5 linked regions of the Ovis aries genome follow. The protein of the gene in region 1 interacts with the protein of each later gene in a biochemical or structural test. Links are inferred from orthologs where the notes say so. Each region holds a gene or a part of one and is shown in the gene's direction. Other genes may lie near its edges. The genes, in order: RIPK1, CRADD, OTUD1, BIRC2 and TNFAIP3.

Region 1 (4,292 bases):
GTGCTCCTAACCGACTCGCGTGACAGCAGACTCTAAGGGATTGACTCTTGGACTCACGTGACACACTTAAAGAGAGCGCTACCCCTACTGGACCTGCATGTCATCTGGTGACCTGAGAGTAGACTGTTCAGAATTGAAGCAGATGACTTCTAATGAGACAGTTTTCCCAAAATACTCAGAACAGGCCTGTTGGAGTTGGTCACCACACTTTCGATGACGACACTTCAGATGATCGCCACTGTCTGTTATCCTGGAAATGTGTGAACTTTAGGCAAAAAGTGTTCACAGTTCTGCTACTCCTTGTTACTCAAATGGAACCTCAATAGGTTTGCAATCCACACTTTCCCTCGGATGTGAAATTGTACAAAGGAAAGGGCCTCCCTGGCATTGAGATACGAAGTCACTGACACACAAAAATCTCACACTTGGATCACCACTGCTTTCTGAGAGATTCTGATCAAAAGGGGGAAATGTAAAAAACAAACACACAAAAAACAAATCTCAAAGAGTCAGGAGATAGAAAGGCTGGAGAATCTTTTCTAGCAGAAATCTTTTTTTTTCCCCGGCAATGATTCAGCCCATGAAAAGCAGTGGACTTTTAAAACATCTCTCCAACTTCCTTTTCCCCCATAAAGGTGTCCTCTCCATTTGCATGCAAGTTCCCAGGGTGGCAGACCTCAAATTGCAATTCTTTTCATAATAAACTTGTTTATGCTAGAGAAATAGTTGGCAGTCCATTTATTTTAGGCAGACAATATGTGGTGGCATCTCATTGGTTTTTCACAGTTTCCTAATATCCTATAATATTGAGCATCTTTTCATATACTTACTTGTCATTTGTATCGTGAGAAGTCTGTTGAGATCTTTTGCCTTTTCTCAATTGCATTTTTCCTTCTCTGGCATTTCTAGTATACTTTGGGTAACAGTATTTTATCAGCTATGCTTTCTGCAAATATTTTCTCAGTTTGTGGCATCTCATTACCTCCAGATATCTTTTTATAGTATGTAATCATGCTATATATATAATCAACTTTTCATCATAACACTATAGCAACCATTTCCCATTTTGCTTCAGACTTCCCAACCATCCTCGTATGATGCTGGTTCCTCCGCAGCCCCACAGAAGAGATTATCCCCACTTCACAGGTGAAGGAGATAAATGCCTGGGAGCTTGCTGCCTAGGGTTCCCGCGCTGCTGACCTGCAGAGCTCAGAATCCCCCGGGGAAGCAGCCCATCGTCTCCGGCCCTGCCCGCCGCGCCCGGCAGGTTTCTGTGAGTGGTTTCCGTGACTCGGCATTTCCTCTGTCCTCTCGGCCTCCCAAACCGCTCTGAGAGCACGATCCTCAGTCTGAGCGCGTCCCGGGGTTTCAGAACGGGCCCGGAGACCTTTCCAGACGCGGGGCGGGCGCTCTCCCCACCCTCCTCAGGGGCAGGAGCGGAGGCGGAGCGAGCAGTCCACGCCCTCCGCCGGCCGGGCTCCCTCAGTCGAAGCGCCGGCGGCGCGGACACCGCATCGGTGTCCCGGAGCGCTGACCCCGGAGCGCGGGGCCCCAGCGGGCCCACTCCGCGAGGAGCCCGAGCGCGCCGACCACTGGACAGCACGCGACGGACGGCTGGCCCGCGGAGCCGGGCGCGGTGAGGGCAGGGCAAGGCGGGGCGGTCCCCGCCCGCCTCCCAGCCGACGGCTCCGCCCCGGAGACCCCTAATCGGGCCCGGCGTGCCACCCCGGCCTGCGCCGGCCAGGTACTGCCGGGCGTCGGAGCAACTCTAGGCTGCCCCGCCGCCTCCTTCCTCACCCGGCCTGGGGCCTCAGGAAGTCTCCCGCGAAAGCGAAAGCGAATCTCTCGGTGCGTCAGCGCGGGACCGCCGGGCCCAGACCAGTCTCTGGGGCAGGCTTCCGGCAGGGGGCGGGGCTTCTGCTTCCGGTGGGTGGGGCGGGCGACGCGGCTGCCGGAGTTCGGGCGGTGGGCGTGGCCCGCGGCGTTCCTGAGGTCTGGCGGTGGGCCAGTGGGGTGGTGGGCGTGGCCCGCGAGTTCTCAGAAGGCAGACGGTGGGCCTTTAGGGTGGTGGACGTGGCCCGCGAGTTCCCGGAAGTCAGACGGTGAGCCGGTAGGATGGTGGGCGTGGCCCGCGAGTTCCCGGAAGTCAGATGGTGAGCCAGTAGGAGGGTGGGCGTGGCCCGCGAGCTCCCGGAAGTCGAGCGCCCAACTGCCAGCCGTCGGCGGTCCCTGCGGCGTCTCGTCTCGCCGGGAGTTTGGGTCTGGCGGGACCGGGCAGAGATTTGGCTCCCGCGCGATAACTGCCTGAGGTGGAGACGGCCCGCCACGTGGTTTGCGCTGTGGTGTCAGGGGAGGTGGCCGGTCTTCCCTGCGGTGTCGTTACGAGCTTTCGCCGCCCCGGGTCACGGGGGCGCCGGGGCCGCCGCTGCTCGCGACGCCGTCAGACGCCTTCCCGCGCCGTCTTCGAGGAGAGCTGGGAAAGAAGGGTCGACGGGCACGGCGGGGAGGGCGTCGTCCCCCGGTGGCGCGTGCTTTTACTAAGTGACTGAGCGCGCACACGCTCTCGTAGCCTCTTTAGAGTTTTGAAGAGGGTGAGCGCCACCCTTCTTTGCTCACGCTGGACAGCCTCCCACAGAGGCGGGGTTACTGTTCATTACTTTGTCTCTCGCTGTTCCTTCGGCTCTTCCTTGCTCGGAGCTCTTGCGTGTCCTGGACAAAGCCCGAGGCCCGTTACACTCAAGCGACTTTGCAATAGAACCGCTATTACTTCTCCCTCCATTCACACATGAAGAAATCAAGGCAGGAGTGACTTCTTCCTTGATCTACGTTTTGTAACCATCAGGTACGTAGGTGCAAGAGTGGGGAGGAGATTGTAGTCAATTATAAGTATGGGGAACTGCCCCCTTCTAAACACAAAAGGGAAAGAGGAAGCTTGTTTAAAGCAGTTGAGGTATCTCATCATCGTAATTATTATTACTGGTAAAACAACTATCATGATTAACTGTAATTTGCATGCTTCACTGAGCTGAATTGAGCACCACAGATACATTGCACTTTCAGGATTGTGAATATTCACGAGAATAAAGAAAAATATCCCTAAATAACAGTTTCCAAAATTGAAAATTTCTCTTGGATGCTTATTAATCAACAACATGGTAATACCACCAGTATGAGCTGGGAATTTGAAAAAGCACAGCTTCCCATGCTATGGTTGGACGTTATACTTCGGCAAAAATGATCGTGTTAACCTGTAGAATATTGATTTTGAACCGCATGTTTTCATATGTTTTTAAAATTTAGTCTGTACTTTCCCTATGTTTCTGAATGTAGCATACTTATTTAGTATAGGTGAGCAAAATTGTAAGATTAGGTCTTTGAATCTGATTTTAAGGAAGACAAATTATTGTTTACTCTCTGGAGAAGTAGCATGTGTTACTGAACTGATAGTGGAAATTTGAGTGAAGACATTAAGACTCAATTCTGGGATCTGTTACTCTAGGTGAATCATTAAACTCCAAATTATAGTTTCTCAGTTTGTAACTTGGAACCGATGTATTAATAAGTTGGTACTTCACAGGGTCATCATGTGCAAGATACACTGGGTTGAACTCTTGTAGTTTTCTCTCTTGCTCAGAGCTCTTGTTTATCTGAGGCAAAGCATCAAGCAGTTAAAATCAAAGAACCTTGAGAAATTCCCATTGGATGCCTGAGTAAAAACAGAGTTCCATGTGCAGAGGAAAAGGGGGTCATGATAGTCGGGTAGCCAGCATTTTCTGTCAGACTCCTCATGTATGGTCCTCACTGAAACACTGAAAAAAATCGCCCTCAACCACTTAAAGGTAAATATGAAATTTTTTTAACTTAAAAAAATTATTTATTGTGATACACAGAAAAGAACACACATCATAACTGTTTGACTCTCTTAATTGTCCTGAAGTGAACATTAAGAAGAGACAAGTATCGCCCTCACGCCCGACACTTCCTTCCTTCCCTGCTGGCTGCTTCCACCTCTCAGTAACTACTGCCCTAAGTGTTAACATTGTAGATTCATTTTCCCTGGCTTTTTGATGTTATATATTGTTAGTTATTTGTATTCTTCCCCAGTTTTACTGAAGTATAGTTGACAAAATTGAATGTCGATATGAATATTTTTTATATAGACTTACAGATAACTTGTGAAGTTTCTTGGAATTTCCAATTAATTTCAATTAATTTCCAATTAATTTCAATTAATTTTCCAATTAATTTTGAAAATCCATTAAAATAGACCGTTATATTCTCTGTTGAAAGTA
Region 2 (3,514 bases), on another chromosome or scaffold:
CCTTGGGGAGACAGGGCTCCCGTTTAGGGGCTGCACTGTCAGGCTCTGCCACTGCTGTCGGCAGCGCATGCTTGCTCTCTTCTGAGCTCAGCCAGGTGGTCATTCTCCCGTGATCTGTGCTGCTCCCTCATGGCCTTTTATTTCTTGCTTCGGGCCTTTCTTAGCTCATGCTTCTGTAGCAACTGTCACTTTTCTCGGAGGTGTTCACGTTGGTCAGGAGAGACTAGCTGTTCTGTACAGCCCGTTACCCTCTAGCAAATTACCCTCTAGCACTGGCCATTCCTACAGGACGCAACACCACAGGCCAGTTCCAGAGGGAGGAGGGCCACAAAGGCATCCTTAGGTGCCCCCAGAAGCTTCAGCTTGGCCTCCCTAGTGAAGGAGATGAAAGTGAAAAATGCGTGTTACAAGGTATCGTGTGTGTTAGTTGCTCAGCTGTGTCCAACTCTTTGTAACCCCATGGACCATAGCCTGCCAGTCTCCTCTGCCCATGGAGTTCTCCTGGCAATAATACTGGAGTGGGTTGCCATTCCCTTCTCCAGGGGATCTTCCCTACCCAGGGATTGAACCTGGGTCTGCTCTATTGCAGGCAGATTCTTTAACATCTGAGCAGTACCCGCAGTGTAATCCTAAATGTATGTTTTATGCATAAAAGACTGAAAATAAAGTAAAAATAAAAAAATTTTTTTAAAAAGACTGAAAAGAAATAGACCGAAGTATTTTGAATGGGTGTTTCTCTGATGGGATTTCAGGTTATTTTTATTTTCTTGTTTTCACATTTTCTGTAATAAACCTATCCCTAGGTGCTAAGTGCTTCTTAAGCCCCTGCATATGGCTTTTTGCTGAGCAGCCCCTGTGAAGACTAAAAGTTGGCCCCTGACGCTTGGGATGTGTGTCATCATTTCTGCCTGGCCCTGCCCGTCTGATGTGTTTGGGCTTCCCTGGTGGCTCAGACAGTAAAGAATCTGCCTGCAGTGCAGAAGACCTGGGTTCAATCCCTGGGTTGGGAAGATCCCCTGGAGAAGGGAATGGTTACCCACTCCAGTGTTCTTGCCTGGAGAAACCCATGCACAGAGGAGCCTGGCGGGCTCTAGTCCATGGGGTCACGTAGAGTCAGACACAGTTGAGCACCTAACCCTTTTCTCGCTGTCTAATATGTTGCCTCCCTCTCTTCACCATGGTGTCTTTCTCCTCCCCAGATGCCCGGATGGCTGGAATCCCCCCGCACATCCTGCACAGCTCCCCGTCCGACCGGCAGATCAACCAGCTGGCCCTGAGGCTGGGCCCCGAGTGGGAGCCTGTGGTGCTGTCTCTGGGGCTATCCCAGACAGACATCTACCGCTGTAAGGCCAACCATCCCCACAACGTGCAGTCCCAGGTGGTGGAGGCCTTCGTGCGCTGGAGGCAGCGCTTCGGGAAGGAGGCCACCTTCCAGAGCCTGCACAGGGGCCTCCAGGCAGTGGACGTGGACCCCTCGGTGCTCCAGCACATGTTGGAATGACTGGGCCCTCGTCCATGCTTGGGGCTAGTCACATGGCTGAATCGAGACTCTCACCAGGGCAGGTAGATTTGGGGGTGGGGTTGTTTCTTTGTCATGGTGATTTTTAGATGAGAGGAAATAGTGGAATTTGCACTTGACGTTAGTTGACAAGCGGGATTACTCAGGAGATTTGCCAGAATGAATTGACAGTTGACTTTCTAATTGCTCAAATACTGCATTTTTTGAATTGTGCAGGTTTTAATTGTGTGGTTGCCTTTTAATAGACTGGTGAGTCCTACTCGTTAAAAAAAAAAATACAGGTATTCTGTGTATAAATCACCCACTTTTATGTTGCCTGGGAACTCTACAGTGGACTTAACTATTAATGATGACAATAATAAAAACAAATTGCTGTATATAATGTAGCCCTTTCATGAGAAAGTATTGCTTTTTTTCCCCCTTTCATTCTTGTATTGCCTAGATTTAGGGTATAAAATTATGGTAGTTGTGTCTTTAGAACAGAATTGATAGTAACAGTGGAATAGTTACTTGCTCTAGTCAGGATGAATAGCTCAGGCAGGGTGTCTGCATTGAAGTTAAGACACTAAAGCTCCCTGCAAAGACCAGTTCAAGTACCAGCATGCATACCTGAGCCCTTTAGCTTTAAAAGATTTGCTTAAGAAAATCCTGTGCCCTTTATTTAAAGAACTGGAGGTTGGGGGACAGTGTGGTCTTTCTCCTGAAGCTGTGATGATTGACGCGTTATGCTCCTAAGGTCTATCTATGACCTAGTCTTCTGACTTTTTAAAATAACACATGCTATTTGTCAAATGCTCTACTGTTTTCAAGGCCTTTAGTACATAGGATCTCATTTGGATCTCACAAAAAGCCTGTGAAGTAGTTGAGCAAGAGGTGAGCTCCATCCTGTAGCAAGATGGAGTGATTTACTAGCAGCATCTCCCTGGACAAGTTACTTTACTTCTTTAAGCCTCAGTCTCCTCATTTGTAGAGTGAGGCAATGACTGTCCTCACCTCCAAGATACTTGTGACAAGTGAAAGAATAACGTCTGCCTTGGGCTCATCCAGTGCCTGGCCCGTCGTCAGCTCTTGGGAAATGGTAGCTGTTAATTTTCTGCCGTGGCTAAACATGGATACAGTTCCCAGGTCAAGGGGACCAGTGGCTAAAGCTGAGGGTTCTGTAGGAGGAAGTGCTGTTACCATGTTTCTGGTCAAGCTTTAAAAGGTGATCTGCTTTTATTAATGCTATTATGAGTCCAATAAAGAGAGTGCAGACTTCCCTGGTGGTCCAGGGACTAAGACTTATGCTCTCGATGCAGGCGGCCCAGGTTCGATCCCTGGTCAGGAAACTAGATTCCACATTCTGCAGCTAGAAGTGTACATGCTGCAGGTAAAGACTGAGGGATCCTCATGCCACAACTAAGGCCCAGGATAGCCAAATAACTAAGTCATAATAATTTATTTTAAACAGTAACAGGTGAACATTCCCATTTGTGATCCATCCTTTGGAATAATTGGAGAATCTATTTCCCAATACCAACCTAACTCAGAATTCTTCAAAGGGAAAAATATTCTGAGGGGAAGCATAGGAGTAGTGAGGTTTGACAGAAGGTAGGTCTTCAAGACGATGACAGTGGTGTGTTAATTACATTCTGTCAGGTGTCTGGTAACCATATTCTCTTTCCTAAAAAGGATCAGTTATTTAACAGTCCAGCAGTTTGGCAGTTTGGCTCACTGGTCTTATCACCTCTAATTTTCCATCCTGTAGTCCAGTCATTAATTCATGATCTTGTAAAATCCTTAAACTTTTGGCCTCATCATTGCACTGAGTGACTGTACTTCCGCAGTATCTTCAATAACTGCTTGTCACTTTGAACTCTGGACTTGCGTTGCTGTTCGTCCCCCGGATTTGCTAACAGAGAGTTATTTCAGCTTTTGTTCTCACCGCATTTATGGATGAGGGAGTACAGCTGGGCTGGACTGCACTCAGTTAGATGACATTTTATTAGTGGACCT
Region 3 (4,303 bases), on another chromosome or scaffold:
TGAAATTTAGGTAACTTCCTTTTTCTAGTTAGCCAGTGGGGTCTACAAGCTTACAGTGGGGTGTCACCAGAAGCTGAAAAGACGGTTAGACTTTTATGTGGTTGTTTTTCCTTCCAGTTGACCTACCTAACAGGTTCAAGTGACCTGGGCAAAGGCAGCTGGGATCCTGTCAGTCACACGCACGACGGCAAATTGAAGCTCTGGCTAGGGGTCAGGAGACCAGGATCGTAATTCTGCCTTTTCCACTGTTTTGGGAACTCCTCTTCCATTAATTAACTCATTCAATAAATATTAATTAGTTCCATCTATGTGCCAGCCTCTGTGCTGGGTTTGTAACTATAATAGCCATCAAGACTAAGTCTTTCCATTCAGGGAACCTAAGATTCACAAAACAATACGTGGAGTGGGGAGGCTTATACCATAACATAAGCTATTTCCTCATCACTGAAACAGTGAAACAGCTTTGTAGGTTCACTCTGAACATTTAGGGTCTGTCAGTTAGCATGTGATCAAAGCTGAGAATATAGCAAGAGCTGCCCACTGCTATACAGTCAGTATACAAGTTGATCATGACCATTTTAGCTTTCCTTTACAAACAGGGACATCTAACACAATAGGGTAGAACTATGTTCAAGATTCTATTCAATTTCAACATTCTCGCAATGCATCACGACCCTCTTTACCGCTGACCTACGGTGAACAGCTGCACCTATTTTCAAGAGGCCCGGTTAGGCATTTGGTATTTCACCCAAGACTTGTATTTGCTTATCAAATACGGGTTAGGACAGCAGAAAAGTTGGTTTCGGTTTAGCAGGGCGGCAAGGTGCTGGGGAGAAAGGGAGGCGTCACACTGCTACGTTAACAATATAATCTCAGGGTTGAGTGAAAAAGATGGCAGTGGTGCAATGACCATGCAGAGGCCATGCAGGTTTTAGGGCAGCTGTCCCCACGCAGAACTCGGAAGCTTGTTTTGAAACGCACTTTCAGCACTCTTGGCCGCCCCAAGCTGCCCCGAACCCTCTAAGATCCACCGCTAAAGCGTAGAAAAGCGCGGCGCCTAGAAACTAACACTGAGGTGGGGCAGCGGCCACGGCTGCACAGGCCTCCGCGCCCTCCCGCCCGCGCGCCCGTCGCCCGCGCTGCGGGCCACGCCCATGACGTCACCGAATGGGGCGGGGCGAGACGGAGGGGGTGGGGCGAGCCCCGGCGGTTGAATGGGACGCCGCGACGAGCCGCACATTCCAATAAGGGCACGTGACGCGGCAGCGCTGCCTGAGGTAAACAACCGTGGCCCCGCCTCCTGGCTCGTCCGCGCGCCCTGCAGAGCTGCTAGCCGGCGGGACGCGCTCCAGCAGGGCGGGCGGCTACCTCTGAGAGTCCTCAGCGGCCGCCGCGGGCCGGAGCAGCGACGGCGGGCGCACGCGTCCCGGGTCTGCGGGCCGCTAGCGCCGGCAGGGGTCGAGCGCGCGTCCCCTCCCCGCCCCCACCGCGCGCTGTGGCGCAGCAGGAATTTGGCGGGGACCCGGGCGCTATTTGCAGCTCCTGACGCGCCGGCGGCCCTTCGGTCATTTCTATTCTCAGGGCACTGGGTCACCGCGCTCGGCCGGCCCCCTCCCCCGGGCCCGGAGGGTGTGTCCCCTCACTAGGGCTCGGCGCGCCTATAAGGGGCCGAGCGGCGGGCAGGGACATGCAGCTCTACAGCAGCGTCTGCACCCACTACCCAGCCGGGGGCCCGGGTCCCACGGCCGCAACCGCCGCTCCGCCCGCCGCCGCCACTGCCGCCTCGTTCAAGGTCTCTCTGCAGCCCCCGGGACCCGCCGGTGGCGCCCCGGAGCCCGAGACCGGTGAGTGCCAGCCGGCCGCGGCCGCCGAGCCCCGCGAAGCCGCCGCCGCTCCCGCCGCCAAGATGCCCGCCTTCTCCTCCTGCTTCGAGATGGTGTCCGGGGCCGCCGCCCCCGCCTCGGCCGCCGCCGCCGCCGGGCCGCCCGGCGGGTCCTGCAAGCCGCCTCTGCCGCCGCACTACACGTCCACAGCGCAGATCACCGTGCGGGCCCTGGGCGCCGACCGGCTCCTGCTGCGCGGCCCCGAGCCCGGCGCCGCGGCTTCCGCCGCCCCACGCGGCCGCTGCCTCCTGCTGGCCCCGGCACCAGGCGCTCCGATCCCGCCGCGGCGGGGCTCCTCGGCCTGGCTTCTGGAGGAGCTGCTGAGGCCCGATGGCCCGGAGCCTGCCGGTCTGGACGCGACCCGCGAGGGGCCCGACAGAAACTTCCGACTGAGCGAGCACCGCCAGGCCCTGGCCGCCGCCAAGCACCGCGGCCCCGCGCCGCCCCCGGGAAGCCCGGAGCCCGGCCCTGGCCCGTGGGCCGAGGAGCGCCCGGCAGAGAGGAACCTCCGCGGCTGGGACAGAGCTGGCGACCGCGGCGACGCTCCCGGCGCCGAAGAGCCGGGGCGACCCGACCCGGAGGCCGAGGCGGCCCCGGCCCGGAGCGGCGAGGCGGCCCCGGGCGGCGCGACCGAGGCGGTGATCGTGTCCAGGTCGGATCCTAGGGACGAGAAGCTGGCCCTGTACCTGGCGGAGGTGGAGAGGCAGGACAAGTACCTGCGGCAGAGGAACAAGTACCGATTTCACATCATTCCCGACGGCAACTGCCTCTACCGGGCGGTAAGCAAGGCGGTGTACGGGGACCAGAGCCTGCACCGGGAGCTACGGGAACAGACGGTGCACTATATCGCCGACCATCTCGACCACTTTAGCCCCTTGATTGAGGGCGACGTGGGGGAGTTTATCATCGCTGCTGCCCAGGACGGGGCCTGGGCCGGGTACCCCGAACTGCTGGCCATGGGGCAGATGCTGAATGTGAATATCCATCTGACTACTGGAGGGAGGCTGGAGAGCCCCACGGTGTCTACCATGATTCACTATTTGGGCCCGGAGGATTCCCTAAGGCCTAGCATTTGGCTCAGTTGGCTCAGTAACGGACATTATGACGCGGTGTTTGATCACTCGTATCCGAACCCGGAGTATGACACTTGGTGCAGGCAGACTCAAGTGCAGAGAAAACGCGATGAAGAACTTGCGAAGTCCATGGCCATATCCCTGTCCAAAATGTATATTGAGCAAAATGCATGCTCTTGAAGTGTCTGAGACCCTCGGCCTGGGAAAATTGCATACCTAATTTGTGTTTGGAGAGTTATATGAACTTTAATCAGGGTAATTGCACTTTTAAACTTTCTAGTAGATTTACTGTAGGTGTAATGCCTTAATCATTTTTTTGAATGTTTTCTCCTCAGAGCTGAAGGTTGCTGGGCACCTAAATGATGTTTCATAGTAGCTTTGGGTGATCCTACTGCTATTTATGATTTGCTGTATAAAGTTGGCACTACTTAATTTGCAAGCTGATTTCTCAGTGTAAATTTGTTCATTCCTGGTAATCTATTTTCTATAAAAACGTATTTTTGCACAACATTTTTAACAATTGGTGTACCTTCATCTAGGATGTGATCCATTTTGACAAACAGCTTTCCGGCATAAATCCAGAGAAGTGCTTTATATGAAGTTTATTATTTTGAGCAGAGTTTGTGATTTCGTATTTTATGTTGTTGGATTTGAATTTTAGAGTTCTTAGATAATTATTTCAAATGGCTATTGATGCTTTCATGTTACCAGATAATTGGCCCATTCCGTTTTGATGACAGATTAGTTGTTTGGAAAATCATTATTTTTCTAGAAATGGTCAACCTTTTAAAGAGAAAATACTTAAGGGGAGGTTGTGGGAAGATTTTTTTTTTTAAAGAATAGTACCAGCTCTTACTTGAATGAAAGTCTGATATTTGCTGATGGCAGAGTGATTATTCTGTACTCCAGTTGATGTTTAGATTGTCTGGTGCTCTCGGTTGTTCTTATTTATATTTGTCTTTTGTTGAAAAGAATTTTTTAACATGATAGAAAACTTTGTGACAAGATAAGCCTCCTGCTTCATATATAGTTTCTTGGATTCAACTGAGAGATTTGAAAATTAATGGCATAAATGCCTCCAATCAACCCTGGCAATTATTTTATAGCAGGAGAATACTGTCTTAATGGTCTATTCCTTTTAAATTCTTTCACAAGGCAAAATAGGATTGCCCTGCATTATGTACAGTACAAATGTCTATACAGAGCTTGTATGGTTTGCTGGGTCAAACAATGTTTTCAACCTAAAATCTATCTCATTTCCACTTTAACTACTTTTAGTGGTATTTATTAAGTAATGCAGTTTGTACTTTTTTATTTTGTAACATTTTGTGATTTTTTTTGTACAAT
Region 4 (3,514 bases), on another chromosome or scaffold:
CAATATTGTTGACCATATTAAAATTTTTTTTTTTCTTTGAAGTATAAAAATTGCTTTTGGCTTCCCTTGTGACTCAGACAGTAAAGAATCTGCCTGTAATGCAAGAGACCTGGGTTTGATCTCTGGGTGGGGAAGATCCCCTGGAGAAGGGAATGTCTGCCCACTCCAGGATTCTTGCCTGGAGAACTCTATGGACAGAGGAGCCTCGCGGGCTACAGTCCATGGAGTTCACAAAGACTCGGCCACGACTGAGCGACTAACACTTCAACAACAAAGTCATAATTGCTTCTAACCACATTGTTTTTGCTGTATGTATATTATGTCCCCATGGCTTATTTATTTTATCATTGAATTTTATATCTAAATCACTTTCACCTATTTCCCTATATGCTTGTGAATACTACTTTAGATGCTGGAGATATTAACAGTGAATAAGATACGACAGAAATCTTAGTCCTCATAGAATTTATTGGAAGGAGGAAATATGGAGCAGCCAATGTTCAGTATACTTCCTATCTTTAATCATTATAAGTTAATCCCAGAATAAAAATAATTTAGACCTATATTAAGATCAGGAACAAGCTGTGTTCTCGGCATGATGACTTGAGTCATGAGCATGTTTACATGATCTCTACTAAATCTACCTCAGTCACCACCTGAAGGACATTGGGTTGTTTCCATTTTGGAGCAATAATGAGTAAAGCCACTCTAAAAATTAGTAAACCTTTGTGAACTTGTTTTCATTTCATTTAGGTAAATACTTTAAATACTTAGAATTGGGATTAGTGGGTTGGATGGCAAGTTTTATTTACCATTGTAACTTTAGAAGAAACTACCAGATTGTTTTCTGAAGTGGCTGTATCATTTTAAATTCACACCAGGAATGTATGAGACCTCCAAGTATTCCAGATTCTTAATGACATGTGGTAGTATCTTTTTTATTTTAGCCATTCTAATAGATGTGTAGTGGTATTTCACTGTGATTTTAATTAGCATTTCCTTAGTGATTAATGATGTTTATTTGTTGTCTATATAAGTTGTCCCTCAGTGTCAGCAAGGAATTGGTTCCAGGACACTCCCAGGGTTTCCCCTCAAGAAACCAAAATCCATGGGTGCTCAAGTTCCTCATAAGACATAGTAGAGTCAGCCCTTTGTATCTGTGGGTTCTTCATTCTTGGAACTGTGTTTTCTTTGATGAAGTGTCTCTTTTCAAGAAGTTGTTTTTTTTTTTTAATTGCTAGGTTTTGAGAGTTCTTAATGTATTCTAGATACAGGTTCTGCATCAGGTGTGTTCTGGAACATTTCAGTCTGTGACTTTCTTTTTTATCTTTTTAACAGTGTATTTGATGAGCAGGAGTTTTTAATTTTGATGATGTCAGTTTATCAATTTATCTTTTATGGATTATGCTGTTGGTTTATTAGCTAAGAAATCTTTACTTAACCTAAGGACAAAAAGATTGTCTCCTGTGTTTTCTTCTAGAAGTTATATTGTTTTAGGTTTTGTATTTAAGCATCTGGTCCATTTTTAGTTTGTTTCTGTGTACAGTATGGACATAGATAAAGGCTAATATTTATGAATATTGAGTTGTCTATGTCCATTTGTTGAAAAATCAAAAGGGAAGAAATAGAAACAAATGTTATATGAACTTCCTGGAATAACCATTGAGAAATTCTAGTAATTTGAAAGCAAGTATTTGGGAAACACTGTCACAGTATATATAGATGAAAATACTTGATACTCTATTTTTTTAGGGGATTTGTGCTTTCTGTATAATGGAAGAGTGGACAGTGGAGAAAGATTAGCAGTCATTTTGTGAAAGATCATATTTTAGGCATACCACATTACAGTTCCTGAAACTTATGTTAAACTCGCAAAGTAAATTGTCTGGAACAGCATTTTCTAAGTCTTAGCTTTTTCTCCTTTGAGGTCCAGACTCCTTTATTGTTGTATTAATGTAATTAAAAAAATCAGAATGTATCAATACATAGTAAAAATTTGTGATGTTTTATGAGAATTTTGTTTCTGTTAGGTGTATATGTGTACTAGGTTGTGATGTAAAATGTTTGTACTATGGGATATAGTCCAAGAGTTTGAAAACCGCATTTCTAGAATGATCAGAGTATATTTTTGGCATAAAAGAATTTTAAAAATTTTCCTTTTATGTTTTAGGTGTGAGTTCTTGATACGCATGAAAGGGCAGGAGTTTGTTAGTGAGATTCAAGCTAGATATCCTCATCTTCTTGAACAGGTAAATATGTTTTTATAATTGGCAACATTGGATTCTCCTAGATAACAATTACAAAATATGATTAAAAGTGATCTTTATATCTTTTTAAAGTTAATTATAGTTATATGTTTTATGTCCATCTTAATGACACTTTTAAGTTTTATTTTCAGACTACCTTGTCTGTTCATGGCTTTTAAAAACTATTTTTTAGTTTTTTGAAAAGTCACATAACCTGCCCCTGTACAGATTTGTGGTAGGGTTGGAGAAGAGTCTTTAGTATCTACTCCGTCTTTTTGAGAAAAATAAACAAAAAATAACTTTTTAGGAATTTGGAACCTCAGAGAGTGGTTAAGCTGAAATACAACTTTCTAAGTGGAATGAGAAACCATTAATACTTTTTCCTGCTTTCCTGATACTTAAATTCTAATATGGAATTAACTGAAGTTTAAGGAAATATTTTATGGTGATTAAGATAAAGCATAGCAAAGTGCAGTATGTAAACTACCCAGTTTTCAAAGCATGTGCATAGTACTTAAGATAAACTTACCTTAATGTTGCTATGCTCAGATTGTTTGAGATTCTGGATTTTACCTTTTTTTTTTTTTTTTTTGTCCTGTTTCATAGCTGTTGTCAACTGCAAATACTCCTGGAGATGAAAATGCTGATCCACCAAGTATGTATGAAAATATCCCGAATAAAGAATAGGATTTAAGAGTATTGAAAATAAAAGTTTGTATATAAAGGATTTCTAGGGTTATAGAAAAAAGTGCTAAGAAGTTAGCTAATAAATATTATGTACGTTTTCTATCCTCTAGAGAAGGGAATGGCAACCCACTCCAGTATTCTTGCCTGGAGAATTCCATGGACAGAGGAGCCTGGCAGGCTGCAGTCCATGGGGTTGCAGAGAGTCGGACATGACTGAGCGACTGAGCACATACACACACATCTATCTTCTAAGATTCATGACATTTTTAGAGGATTCTTGGAAGTATTCTAGTTTTTGTTCTTAAAGTGCTTATATTCTAATTGGGGAGACAAAATAGGAATACCAAATGAGAGGAGCAAATAGTAAGCCCTCCAAAGAGGGAAAATTTGGTATAAACTATCATGTTTGGAAAGGGCCAGGTTACATGATTTGAGAATTGGGCTAGAAAAGTATTTGCCTGGTATGTAGTATTTTAGTGCAAGGGTAGGAAATACATATTCTGATTATAGTTTATAATTTTAGCTACATCTGGCATTTAGTGTAAAGTGTTATTTAGTCTGCTGTTACCTTAGTAACTTTC
Region 5 (3,514 bases), on another chromosome or scaffold:
GTGCCAGCCGTAAACACTGAATCAATTTTCAAATGTAGACATCTAGACACTCTTTAACTCTGAAAAGGGACTCTAATTGCTAACAGGCGGGTTCACACAAGGCATTTATGGGAGGTAGGGGTGAGCAGGCTAGTAGGTAATTCCGTCTCAATCCCATTTTATAAATCAGGAGAGGAAACTCCCAGGCCCTGCTTGCTGTGGTGGGCTGGTCAAGTCATTTACCCCTGAGTCATGGCCAGACGGTCCCTGTCTAGTAAGCGGAGCCAGACCAGCTTCCTGGTTTGAGCATGTTGCTCTGGGTGTTCTCTCTCAGGGTCAGAGAGCAATAGGACCAGCATCTGAGCCAGAAGATCAAGGCTTGTTAGAAAGGAAGGGACTTCAGAGATCATAATCCAATACCCTCATCTCACAAAGAGGAAAAATACTCAGAGGTTAAAAAATTCCCCACTGAGGGCAGAACCAGACTGGAGTCAAGGTCTCCAGACTCTCAGTCCTTGGTTCCTTGGGCTTTGTTAGAAGCATTCATTAAACAGAAGAGTTACAAGAAAGATTTTTTATTTTTCCCTTAAAGCTGTCATCACCTAGTGAAATGTTACCAGCTGGTCCTTTGACAGGGAGGTGGGAAGAGGATTCAGGATTGGGAACACATGTACACCCATGTCGGATTCATGTTGATGTATGGCAAAACCAATTCAATATTGTAAAGTAATTAGCCTCCAATTAAAATAAATAAATTTAAATTAAAAAAAAGAAAGAAACTAAACCTTTGGCGTTTCTCACAAGCACTACTGGGTCCCCACTTACGGTAGCAGAGAGGCTGGTTTATTCTGGAAACCTCTGCTAGGCCTTAGATTCGGATTGCTAGAATTTGCTTCCCTTCTGTCCTCAGGTGACGGAAACTGCCTCATGCACGCGGCTTCTCAGTACATGTGGGGTGTTCAGGACACAGACTTGGTCCTGAGGAAGGTGCTCTTCAGCACCCTCAAGGAGACGGACACGCGCAACTTTAAATTCCGCTGGCAGCTGGAGTCTCTTAAGTCTCAGGAATTCGTGGAAACTGGGCTTTGCTACGACACCCGGGTATGTTGGGGTTCCTCCTCAAACATTTATTGACAGAGCTCCATGGTGGGAAAACTGCATCTCCAGCCAGTCCCTGCTGTCAGGGAGCATATGGTTTGCTGGGTCACGTGAACTTGGCTAAGCAGAGTCAATGGAAAACACCAGAAACCTCCCATGGGATGAACCCAAGGCCCTTGTCACTGCTGGGAGGCTCCCAGGCAGCATCTTCCCAGCTGGAGAGTCATTCTAGAATGATCTTTCTGATCACAGGTTTCCCTGTGGCATTTTGGCTGTTTGGGGAGTTTGATGACCCTTGCTTGCTTTACTGAGCCCGTCAGTCAGATTCAGAGGGCACCTCCCCATCTTCGGCCACAAGGCTGGGACTCTGTGCACAAGGAGCTCGGCGTGGTGTTTCAGCAGGGATTTTTCTGAAAGCAGGTGCTGTCCCCCTGCTCCTCTGCTTCTGAGTTTGCCTTGTAATGGGAAAAAGTAAAGGAAGAAAACCAGAATTGGGGGGAAAATGGGTGATAATTTGAGTGATGATCTTAAGAAAGGGTAAAAGTAAGCTCAGTGATACCAGTGAATAATTATAGAGTGGAGCCAAAGTTGTTTTTTAATGCAGAATGCATTCAATAGTTTCTTTCCTCTCCCCTTAGAATTGGACCGATGAATGGGACAACCTCGTCAAGATGGCATCCGCAGACACACCTGCAGCCCGAGGTGGACTGCAGTATCATTCACTGGAAGAAATACACATATTTGTCCTTTGCAACATCCTCAGAAGGCCAATCATTGTCATTTCAGGTGAGATGCCTGCTGATGGCGTCTCTGTATTTAGGTGCCTTTCAGCTTTAATCCCTTACCTCTTAGCATGACCCAAGTTCCAAGCATCCATAGCTAAATGGACTCCCATGAAAGTCTCAGAGGGCCTTATCTTTTCTTTCTCTTTCCTTAAACAGACAAAATGCTGAGAAGTTTGGAATCAGGTTCCAATTTTGCTCCTCTGAAGGTGGGTGGGATTTACCTGCCTCTGCACTGGCCTGCCCAGGAATGCTACAGATACCCCATTGTGCTCGGCTATGACAGCCAACACTTTGTACCCCTGGTGACCATGAAGGACAGTGGACCTGGTGAGAAAACCAAGCATCTATTCACATTTGTAACTGCTTCTGAATCCTGCTACACCCTGTTCTTACTGAACGTCAGGGTTTGCTCTTTGGCTCCTTTTTGAAAGCCTCATTTAAGTATATTAGTTTTATTTAAATATAGTATTCTGTAATTTGTTTGATTAGCAACAATAATGCACTCACACTAATCATAATGCCCCCCCCATCCCCTCTTGTTTTGTGTGTCGTTTGGGACCGACTTTGAGCATGTTAGTGGCAAATAGGAGATAATGTCTATTACTGCCACCATTTCTTAATTAACCCGTAATACAGTGCCTGGCCTGGGGCAAGTAAATGTCTGGCAGGCTAGCTATTACTGTACTAGCTTAATGTGGAACTAATAGGGTACTTTATAAATGCTTTAGGTACAATATTTTATTTCATTTCATCTTCACAGCATCCATGTGGATGCTATAAGCACTGATAGCCTTACTGTACAGATGAGGCACCTGAAGCTCAGAGAAGTTAAGTAACTTCCCTAATATCACAGAGCTGGATAGTGGCAGAGTCAGAATCTGAACTCAGGTCAGTCTGAATCTGAAGTGCAGTAATTTAACCAGTAAGACCCGCTGCTTGGAGGCTGCTTTATATTCTGTGAACTTCCTGGAAACAGTATATTTTATATTAGAGTTTAGCACAGTTTGTTTCCCCATTTGATTTTGTGGCTAGATAATACTTTTCCATTCTGTAATTGTATCCTTTCTGCATTTTCAAAATGCAGTCGTTATATATATATATGACCTCACACAAAATCTTGTTTAGTAGAATCATTTTGCTTACGTGCTATTTCTTTTTCCCTCAGAAATCCGAGCTGTTCCACTTGTTAACAGAGAGCGAGGACGATTTGAAGACTTAAAAGTTCACTTTTTGACAGTTCCTGAAAACGAGATGAAGGAAAATCTCCTGAAAGAGTACTTGATGGTGGTAGAAATCCCCGTTCAGGGCTGGGACCATGGCACCACCCATTTAATTAATGCTGCAAAGTAAGCAGTTTGTTTTTGGCTCTTTCCTGTGTCATCTTTAAGCTGCTTCTGCCTCAGAGACCAATAGTAAAGTTATTTGAAGCCAGTTTCCTCCAACGTGAAACAAATTTAGGGGCTTGTGTGTGTCAGAGACAATCAGCTTAAGTGGCACTGACTTTGGTTTTCAAATGAAAACAAGGAATTTTTCCAGAGGCTTGTCCTGTGTATCTGGATGCTTGGAAGCCAGCACGGTGGCTTCAAAAAGTGCGTTCACATCAAGGATACTTTTTTTTCTTTTAATTGCCCTAGTGCTAGACTAACAAGTGA

Evidence for each region.
Region 2: the proteins of RIPK1 (region 1) and CRADD form a complex in vitro, tested with the Homo sapiens proteins (2 studies listed by BioGRID). The link is inferred for Ovis aries from reciprocal best matches to the Homo sapiens genes RIPK1 and CRADD.
Region 3: of the proteins of RIPK1 (region 1) and OTUD1, one has a biochemical effect on the other in vitro, tested with the Homo sapiens proteins (2 studies listed by BioGRID). The link is inferred for Ovis aries from reciprocal best matches to the Homo sapiens genes RIPK1 and OTUD1.
Region 4: of the proteins of RIPK1 (region 1) and BIRC2, one has a biochemical effect on the other in vitro, tested with the Homo sapiens proteins (6 studies listed by BioGRID, with this or other methods). The link is inferred for Ovis aries from reciprocal best matches to the Homo sapiens genes RIPK1 and BIRC2.
Region 5: of the proteins of RIPK1 (region 1) and TNFAIP3, one has a biochemical effect on the other in vitro, tested with the Homo sapiens proteins (2 studies listed by BioGRID). The link is inferred for Ovis aries from reciprocal best matches to the Homo sapiens genes RIPK1 and TNFAIP3.

What each region holds. Positions count from the first base shown.
Region 1 is NC_056073.1:49,697,680-49,701,971, reverse strand, and holds the start of RIPK1 (receptor-interacting serine/threonine-protein kinase 1), read left to right. Parts: upstream 1-1,484; 5' UTR 1,485-1,744; exon of another isoform or gene 1,745-1,915; intron 1,916-2,192; exon of another isoform or gene 2,193-2,842; intron 2,843-3,577; exon of another isoform or gene 3,578-3,839; intron 3,840-4,292. UniProt on the Homo sapiens protein: Serine-threonine kinase which is a key regulator of TNF-mediated apoptosis, necroptosis and inflammatory pathways.
Region 2 is NC_056056.1:130,163,173-130,166,686, forward strand, and holds part of CRADD (death domain-containing protein CRADD), read left to right. Parts: intron 1-1,199; coding exon 1,200-1,501; 3' UTR 1,502-3,514. UniProt on the Homo sapiens protein: Adapter protein that associates with PIDD1 and the caspase CASP2 to form the PIDDosome, a complex that activates CASP2 and triggers apoptosis.
Region 3 is NC_056066.1:23,757,024-23,761,326, forward strand, and holds the start of OTUD1 (OTU domain-containing protein 1), read left to right. Parts: upstream 1-1,495; 5' UTR 1,496-1,687; coding exon 1,688-3,136; 3' UTR 3,137-4,303. UniProt on the Homo sapiens protein: Deubiquitinating enzyme that specifically hydrolyzes 'Lys-63'-linked polyubiquitin to monoubiquitin.
Region 4 is NC_056068.1:6,036,687-6,040,200, reverse strand, and holds part of BIRC2 (baculoviral IAP repeat-containing protein 2), read left to right. Parts: intron 1-2,170; coding exon 2,171-2,249; intron 2,250-2,852; coding exon 2,853-2,901; intron 2,902-3,514. UniProt on the Homo sapiens protein: Multi-functional protein which regulates not only caspases and apoptosis, but also modulates inflammatory signaling and immunity, mitogenic kinase signaling, and cell proliferation, as well as cell invasion and metastasis.
Region 5 is NC_056061.1:63,031,971-63,035,484, forward strand, and holds part of TNFAIP3 (tumor necrosis factor alpha-induced protein 3), read left to right. Parts: intron 1-889; coding exon 890-1,080; intron 1,081-1,715; coding exon 1,716-1,863; intron 1,864-2,018; coding exon 2,019-2,189; intron 2,190-3,027; coding exon 3,028-3,208; intron 3,209-3,514. UniProt on the Homo sapiens protein: Ubiquitin-editing enzyme that contains both ubiquitin ligase and deubiquitinase activities.